2 linked regions of the Caenorhabditis elegans genome follow. The protein of the gene in region 1 interacts with the protein of each later gene in a pairwise test. Each region holds a gene or a part of one and is shown in the gene's direction. Other genes may lie near its edges.

Region 1 (4,915 bases):
ATGGTTTTCATATTACACAAGTTGTTCGCTTTTTCTTTCTACAATTCCAACAAAAAATTGCTCACCTTTTCCGGTAGTCCAATTCGATGAAATCGTCTTCCAATATTTGGATATCTTGATTGAATTCTCTCCTTCGTCCGTGCTTTCGCCCGGTCAATACGGTCATAGTAGAAAGTTGGAGCCGCCAGTTCAACCACCCCGGTTGGTGGTACGATTCCCAGCTTGAGCTTCTCATCCACAAGTGAAGCTCCAACTTCTGACAGGTATCCCTGCAAAAAGTAATCAGTTAGTCTTGGCTATCAAATTGTAAACATTTATGTATATCATGCATTCTATATGCTTCGGGATTTGTATGTACTTGACACCCCTCTTCCAAGTCCGCCTGTATAACCATATAACCAGCCAAATCGACACATCTACGGCAGGAAAATGGACGACGACTACACATAATTATTTCAGTAGTACGCTAAGCACTCATGCGCCAACACTACCAACAACCTAGGCCCTCCAACAACAGCAGCGCATCATCGAGTTGAATATTATTTCATCGTCCTTCTTTCCCCCGCGATGTGTTGTTCTTTCAAAGTCCATTGACCCGAAAAACCGGTAACGGCAACATACATACACATACACTTATGCCAAAGGGAATCATTACACTTCGCAAATCATTCAGTTTGTAATCCAAGAAGATCTGCGGATTTTTCGTTGTTTTGAGTAATACGTTTGAGTCATTTTCACATCAGAATGGGATAAATGTGCATCGTTACAAAATTCTTGCCACATTTTCTTCGTCGCAATTTTTGCTCTTCGACCGACTTAATTTCTAATTCGCATTCTTTGACAACCTTATTTTCGTCTCCCTTATGTGCACGTTTTCAACAACATTTTGCTCTACTAGAGAGCCTTTTTTCCCTTCATCGACACCAATTTCAATTGGCTGCCATTTCGAGAGCAGAGAAAAGTCATTGACTATGTTGTTTTCTGAGAATCGAAAATGAGTGTCGTGAAAAAATACGATGAGTGGCGGCGGTCAGCGCGGCGCAAAGGAAACCGGCGGCTCACAATTGCTTCGGACCAAGAGAGTAGCAATTATAGGAGTGAGCGAAACATTGGCAACACTGAGCGAGAGAGCAATTCTATTAAAGTCAATGGGCGAATCGGGGTGCGAACCAGCAGCACCTTTCCTAGAATAGCAACCAGAGCCAGTATTCTCTCGTCTCCTTCAATTCTTTTAGGTTTGTTCGATTTGAAAAATGCCACGAAAAATTGTTTGTTTTTGAAGACCAGATGTAATTTGGGATAAACTTTTTGTCTTAAAGGTGGATTGGCTTCAGTGGTTTAAAGCTGCTCATGTGGTGCCAAAATGCCAAAATATCATTGTAAAATAACAACATATTTCTTCTAATTTTCTACTCTAATTGGACTTTAATTATTTGTGTTTAAACATTCTAGCATACCGTAGAAACTGATTTTTTATTCAATTTGGAACTTTGCCTAAAACGTTGAAAAGGTGTTTTATTATGATATCTGATTTGTTTGAATGATTATAAAAAATTTAGATAAAATCCCCACTGACGCTATTCCACCTTTGAGGTCCTTTCAGTTGCAGTCTTCCCGTTTTTTCCAACTTTTGAAAACAATTTCCAAAACGGGCATAAAACCCCTGCAACGCCAAATCCCCGGGAAAATCTTGACAATGGTCGTTTTTTGGTGCGTGTATGTGGTCCGTGTCACTTTTTTGGACATGATGCCAGCCGGGCAAAGGACGACATGCCCATCAAACTTTCAAGCCAGTTGTCCTCCTTTTTTAGTGTGTGTCGGCTATCCTTTTTTGCAATTCTCGCCACACACACACACACACACACACCATCCAACAACAACTCTTTGAACCAAAGCAACAAACATTCTCTCCAGAAATCAATAGTGACAGGGTGCACATACACGCGCCAACCGGCGAACTCCTTTTTTGTCTTCTGGTCGCGCAAGCTTGACAAAGACATAGAATCAGCAGCGGCGGAACAACGAAAAAAGACACGTGAACGATTGAAGCAGACGAGAAGAGAAGAAGAAGAACGGCATCTGTTTAACGAGGGTAGAAACTTTCTCTTCATTGTGCTCGCAGCTCAGCCAATCACCTGCCCTTTCTATTCTTTTCTAAAACACAAATCCGGTAAGGTTTTCCTAAAATTGATTCATGGTCCCCCCAATGAATTGACATATGCATATATATCATCCAGCTTGGCAGCAGCTTATTTTCCTAACGTGAAGGTCGGCACATTTTCTCTCCCTCTTTCATTTTCTCGTTCAACGCTAGAAATAAATCGAAAGAGAATTTGAGTTCCATGTTTTAGGCGACATTCGGTCCCCTGTGAGTAGGAAAAAACATAATATGTGTTGTTTCGGCAATTTTCTTGTTCAAATGTTAGTGGGTGGAGAAGTAGATAAGGGTATTTCCATCACCTTATCAACAAAAAGCTTGTTGCGGAATCAAAGGGGGTTAAAATAACAGTTCGCCTTACTATCGCGATGTTTTTTGTTTCGAAATTCAAAAAGTGTGAAGTGAGTGTAGAGGATTATGTGTGAGACCGTCTTTCAAAACTAATGTTGTTTCCTCAAAATTTATACTTTTTTAGGGAATTAAATCTAGGAAAAAGTATACGATGTTCGTATAAGTACTCAGTCAAGCTCTACTTCCAAACAACTTCCCACTACTCATCCACCATTCTTACGCAACTTTTCAAAAAGATAGCAGCCATCATTAGGCAGTTTCCCAGAATTGAAGTGAGAAAGAGAGAGAGAGAGAGAGAGAGAGAGAGAGAGAGAGAGAGAGAGAGAGAGAGAGAGCACGGCTCAACCGCGGTCTTGTCCTTGCTGGAGCACAACGATCGGCCAACGTCGTCTTCTTCCCCTCTTCCGTATTTCGTTCTGGTCGTTTGTTGTTGTCGACAACAACACAGAGAGGGCGCCCTCCCAGATCGATGGCTCAAGCCACCAGAGTACGCGCGCCCCACTCCAAAGAAGGCGTGGCCCGTGGCGATGGGCAATGTTGATGTCGTCGTCGTCGTGCTCCACTCGCTCTTCTCCATCTCTCTGGCTCACACTCTGTTTACTTGTTTACCTCTTGCCTAGAAAGGGGAATGAAAAAAAAAGAGCAGGCCATCCGCGCGAGCCCGCTCAGCAAAAAAGTCGCAATTGTCCACCCTTCCTTCTCTTTTTTTTCCTCTTCGAAATCGGTGGAAAACTCCAAGGAAGCTCTTGTTTAAGTCATATTTACTATACTTGGTAAATAGGAAATGCAATAGTCACTAGTCACTGGAGCAATAAAATAATGTGTGCTCAATATTTTTCGAAAAACAAAAACAATTGAAGAATTTGTGTTCTCGATTGTTTTCGACACTGCCTTTTCCTCTACTAAAAATTCCTAGTAGCTAAATTTTCAACTTCAAAATTCACATGACTAGTGTACATACCTTTACTCTATTGGACTCTTCCCCCGGTTGCTATGCGACAAATAACGATTCCAGCTTACCCGCGCGCCCTCTCTCTCTCCTGCTCAATCTTCCCGCCTCATTTTTATATGTACATGTATATATTTGTCAAAAATTGGATGGGAGGGGGGGCGAACAAATGAAACATGCAAACAAAATACGTGTTTACAAGACCTCCGACCTACCGAATGCTCACACTCTTCACGACTTTCTTTTTTGAAATTCGATCTACTCAAAACATCCAGAGCGCGCATCTTTTCTCGCTTTCTAGCTCTCTCTGGCAACATGCCCTCCTCGTACACTAAGTCAAAGAAGATTTGAGATTAACTGAGATTAACTATTTCTTCAATATTTCTCCTATAATTGTGAATTTGTAAGTTCCAGTTACAAAAAATAACAAAAAATTTCAACTTCAAGTTCACTTGCGATTTCAATTTCAACATAAGTTTACCGCATTTTTTCAACATAAGTTTACCGCAGTTTTCTAAACAATCTTTTCAAGGTTTTTCGGGGCATAAGAAAAGAGCGTCGCCTTTTCTTTTTTCCATCCACCACATACTTCAATGAGGTGGAATGAAAACAGACTAGTTTCACTCTCTATTCCAACTGTTGCCATCTTCCTCGAAAAATAGAGAAAAGACGACCTCCGCGTAAACAATTTCCAAAACCTCAAGCAAGCTGCCAAGCTGCGTATTCCGGCGTCCTTATTTCGCTTTCCCCCTCAACATTGGCGGAGATAACTATTGCAGCATGCTGATGTGCTCCATTGGATGTTCTTCAGCTGTGGCGTGAATAGCAGCTCCCCAGGTCGTCAACTAGTTGTGAGCGAGTCGGTTTCGGAAGATAATCTACACAACCCATCATCACACGCGCTCCGAACCCTATCCCCGGTTTCACCACCGACAGCTAATTCTAGTAGTTCAACTAGCAGATCTTGCTCACCAGTTGTTCGTGCAGAAACTATCGTTGCTGGCAAGTGGACGCATATATCTGGAAAAGTTTCTGTTAGGCCATTGACGCCTTCTGAAACCGAATCGGTTCTTGACCGTCAACGTCAGAAAAATCGTCGATCTTCTAGAAAAGGTTTATGTGTGCTCTTGATATGTTTTCTTTATGTTTGACTGTTGCAATTTTGAGAATGCACCCGACTTGTAGATAGTTTGAGAAAAATTCAATTTTTTTTAAAATTTGAACCCTTTTTGCTCACTTTCAGTAGTTAGAAGTCTTGATTCATCTTTCTATTCCTTTTATAGACAAGCTCAAAATGTCGACTCACGACGATACTCGAAGCTCTGGTGGAGGAGACGGAACAATTCATATTCCGTCGGCAGATGCCAAGGAGCCAACTCCGGAGAGCCCAGGCTCTCGTTCCAACTACGGAGAATTCTACTGGTATGTATAAATTTATCAACTTTGCCGATGCATGC
Region 2 (3,762 bases), on another chromosome or scaffold:
ACCAAGTACGCATTCTCATGATTTATTGTTCCCGTAATAACGCGAAGAGGAGTGCGCTTTTAAAATGTACGGTAATTTCAAACTATCGTTTCTGTATGATTTTCATAGATTTTTTCACAGTTTTTCAATTATCTCAAGTATTTCAAAATATTATCAAGAAAACTAAAACAAAACAATAAAAACAGTTAAAGTTTAATGCGAGAAAAAATATAAAAATTTTGCTGCAACGAAATTTTAAAACTACAGTACTCTTTAAAGGTACACATATTTTTTCAATTAACAAACTTTGCAGTGTCGAGACCGGGTTCTGTATTTTTAGTACAAAAGTTGCAAAAATAACGCGTCTGGGTAAAATTTTCAATGTTAATTCCGATGGGGCTCTAGAAAAATCATGATAAATTCACTGAACTAATAAAAATTTAGAAAACTGTTATAAAATCTTAATTTTTAGAGGTAGAATTGTCTAAAGCAAAAAAAAAACTAAAAACCATCAGTAGCCAATAGTCTGAGCGAGTGTGTCACAACTTGAGTACACAAAAACGTTTCTTTTTCGCATTTTTTGTCTACTTTTTATAGAGACGCAGACAGAAAATCAGGGAAAATGAGAAGTGAAGTTAACTGAAGGTCTGGGAAACACGTGGTTGTGAGACTGGCGAAAAGTTTTGAGAAGAAAAATTCGGGTGATATTTGGGAGGAGTTCTGCCTTGAGAAGTTTGATGTTTGAAGTGTGATCTGTGATAAGGATGGGAGGGCAACAGAGACAGGTGGCCAGGACACAAGTGTGCTACTGACGTTAGCTTCTTTTTAAATAAAATTTTCAAATGTAGTTTACTGTCATTTTAGCGAATTGTACAATTAAAAAAATATATATAAATCCGTACATAGTTACGAATAAGAGCAATTTTAATAAAACATATGTTTTTTTTAAATTTTTATTCAAGATTTAAAAGATAACTTAACAAAATCTGCGGTACATAAACCAACAAATAGGAATGACGGCTAATGCACCGGAAACGTATAAAAGTTTCGAAAATTTGGATATAATTGGGGTCTCATCTTGCGCTTCTTGTGTAATCTGGTCCTGAAGATCCTCCACGTCGATCAGCATGATTTTAACAGTTGACCGGAACGCTCGGATCATTTGAAGAAGATTCTTCACATTTTGAGAATCATCAAAGCCCAAATCACGACGTTGTTGAGGAGAATATTCATCAAGGAGCTGTCTTAAAATTGACAATTGATGAAAAGTTTGATTTCCAAGACCGACCCGCAATGAATAAGTTGTCGCTTCATTTTGTGTACTCCCATTTCGGATTTTGTGAGGACGTCGTGGAGACGAATGACGCATACTGACTTTTCTCTGGAAAAAGGCAAATTTAATTCTTTATAAAATGTATACTTTTAAAAAACGCACAGGTTGTTTTCAGGGCAAGCTAGGCTGTTGAAAACTGTACTGGCATCCCAATCCAGAACTTCCGACTCTCCAGCTTCTCCAAACGCTGTTTCTTTTGAAAGTACAACTGGACTTTCTCCCAGAAATGAGCCAACAAACTCGGATTCGAACTTCCTTGGAACCTCTTCCTTTTTGATGATTTTTGGAGTTTCTTCTTCGACTATCAAGAATTCTTTTACATGGATCTGAGGTGATCTGTAAAAGTTAATATTAGAATTATTATTAGTTATTAAAATAAAACAAACCTTAGCTCAAATCCTTGAAATTCTGAATCAGAATCGTCAAAATCTGACATTTTTCAGAAAAGAGTGTTGTAAAACAAAAGAAATTTAAAAAAACTGCGAAACTGTGTATTTTTGCGTCATCGTGTTTGAACTATTTGTGCGCGCGCGTTTAAAAAAAAACAAAAACAATTATTTTCGACCTACTTATTTTATTGATCTGCCTCTATTTTACCGATGAAAGTGTATCAGTCGAAAATTAAAATTATGCGCGGGAAAATTCTGATTTTTTCATTTAAATTTTCGCTTGTCATTCATTCCACAGACCCATTTTTTCTCCCTCTCACCTATTTCACACACTAATTATGGAGCATTTTCATGGAAATCGCTGGGACCAGTTGCGTGCTGTGAGTTCTTGAATTAAAATTCGTTTACAATATTTATATTTTCAGGTAGAAGCTGATATTCTGTGTCCCCCGCCTGCAGATCCATTCCAAATCTTCCCCAGTGGATGGACCAGAGCCTCGGAGCTCAGCGAAAAGGGATGGAGAGAATTGTTTGTCCCAAAATGTTATATAATTGTTTCTATAATAAGATTATTCAGGCTTGACCGCAGAAGATCGCAAAGCCCGCCACCACGTGAACCATCACCAGACGTCAGAAGAGCGATCAGACGGACACCGCCGCCACGTGTCAACCGTGTGGCTCCGATTCGACTTCCAGAGCGGCGTCCATTGCGGCAATTGAACGCCAATGACGCCAGAAGACCAGCACAAGACGCTGCAAATCGCATAAATCAAGAGAATATGCGTGCAGGAAATATCGACAATGGGCAGCCACGTCGTCGAGCACTCTCCCCGACACAATTGCCAGGAGTTCGTGCGATTCCAAAGGACTTCAATCGCTTCTTCCGTGGTCTTCTGACACCTGGAGAGTTCTTTGCCAAGTGAGTTTGGATTTTCTAGCTGTTTTTAGGCTCAATTTAAATATTAAAATTTTCAGATCGCAAACCCGGTATCTTGGGCCATTCGACGAAATGCCAACGGAGGATACACTTCCAGCAGCCGACGAGTACATCATTCTGCAGCGAATGGGACGACTTCCGGATAGCGGTAAATCAATCTTCAGACAGGTCGGCAATCTGTCTACATGATTCCCAGGACTGAAATTGCTGCCCCTCAACGTTTTATCCACATTTTTCCAGTTGAGATCGCATTTTTATCTTTAAAAAATTTACTAAACCTTATTGTTGCCATGAGTCATAATTGTGATATACCTATAATTCCTTAATATAATCAATCTTCTTGAATCCACCCCACTCATTGATTAGTTGTGTGCAATAATAACTTTCGTTTAATGTTTGTAGTCTATTGGTATCGCTGTTTTAGCGTTTTTATGTTGTTTTATAATGAACCAACACCGTTTCCCCATTTATACTTGCGTAGGACAAAAATAAATCAATTGTCTATCAAACTCGGTTCCTTTCTTGTTTTTTTTTTGAAGAATTAAAAAGGTATCACTCCTGTTTCGAGACTATCTAGTGCGATGTAAATTTCGCTCTCAAAAAACCTACTAAATTAAAAAAAGTTTGCCGATAAAAGTATTATTTATTTTTAATTATTGAATTTTTAACACTCTTTGCAAAGTCTTGATGTTCTGTGAAACTTCAAATATTTATTTAAGCGAATCTGAATGCCCTTCTCCAAAAAATTGCATCCTATCAGTGTTAAATTTTGAATTCCCGCAAATTTGCCTACTGCGGGGTCGTAGAAATCCTCTTCCATGTGGCGTTAGTTCGGAGCATCGTTTGCAGTTTGTCATCAAAACTTTTTCGGATTTTTCTCAATTTCGTTATATTTTTTTGTTGATTAACTTTAATTAAAAGCTATTCTTCAGATAATGGCAGATGACGGTCTCGGTGACGTGCCAATGGAAACGGAAAGTGTGAGTTTTAGAATTTGCCGAATTGAAGTGGAATTTATTTTGCAGATGCCACAGTACACAATTTCCCATGTTATTGAAGCCCACAAATCCGACACAAAGGCTTTGGCAGTTACTCAAGGCGGATGCTTGATATCGGGTGGTCGT

The links.
Region 2: the proteins of lfi-1 (region 1) and C05C10.5 interact in a two-hybrid assay, tested with the Caenorhabditis elegans proteins (one large-scale study listed by BioGRID).

Annotation. Positions count from the first base shown.
Region 1 is NC_003284.9:4,979,326-4,984,240, forward strand, and holds the start of lfi-1 (Rootletin-like coiled-coil domain-containing protein), read left to right. Parts: upstream 1-1,914; 5' UTR 1,915-2,170; intron 2,171-4,237; 5' UTR 4,238-4,258; coding exon 4,259-4,571; intron 4,572-4,739; exon of another isoform or gene 4,740-4,741; coding exon 4,742-4,880; intron 4,881-4,915. Other genes in the region: ZC8.6 (Phosphatidylinositol 4-kinase type 2), read right to left, coding at 66-269.
Region 2 is NC_003280.10:9,937,188-9,940,949, forward strand, and holds C05C10.5 (uncharacterized protein), read left to right. Parts: upstream 1-1,852; 5' UTR 1,853-2,039; coding exon 2,040-2,081; coding exon of another isoform or gene 2,082-2,085; intron 2,086-2,126; coding exon 2,127-2,230; intron 2,231-2,278; coding exon 2,279-2,620; intron 2,621-2,676; coding exon 2,677-2,827; 3' UTR 2,828-3,245; downstream 3,246-3,762. Other genes in the region: C05C10.7 (uncharacterized protein), read right to left, coding at 956-1,223, 1,268-1,360, 1,415-1,648, 1,699-1,748; ufd-3 (Ubiquitin fusion degradation protein 3 homolog), read left to right, coding at 3,574-3,618, 3,664-3,762.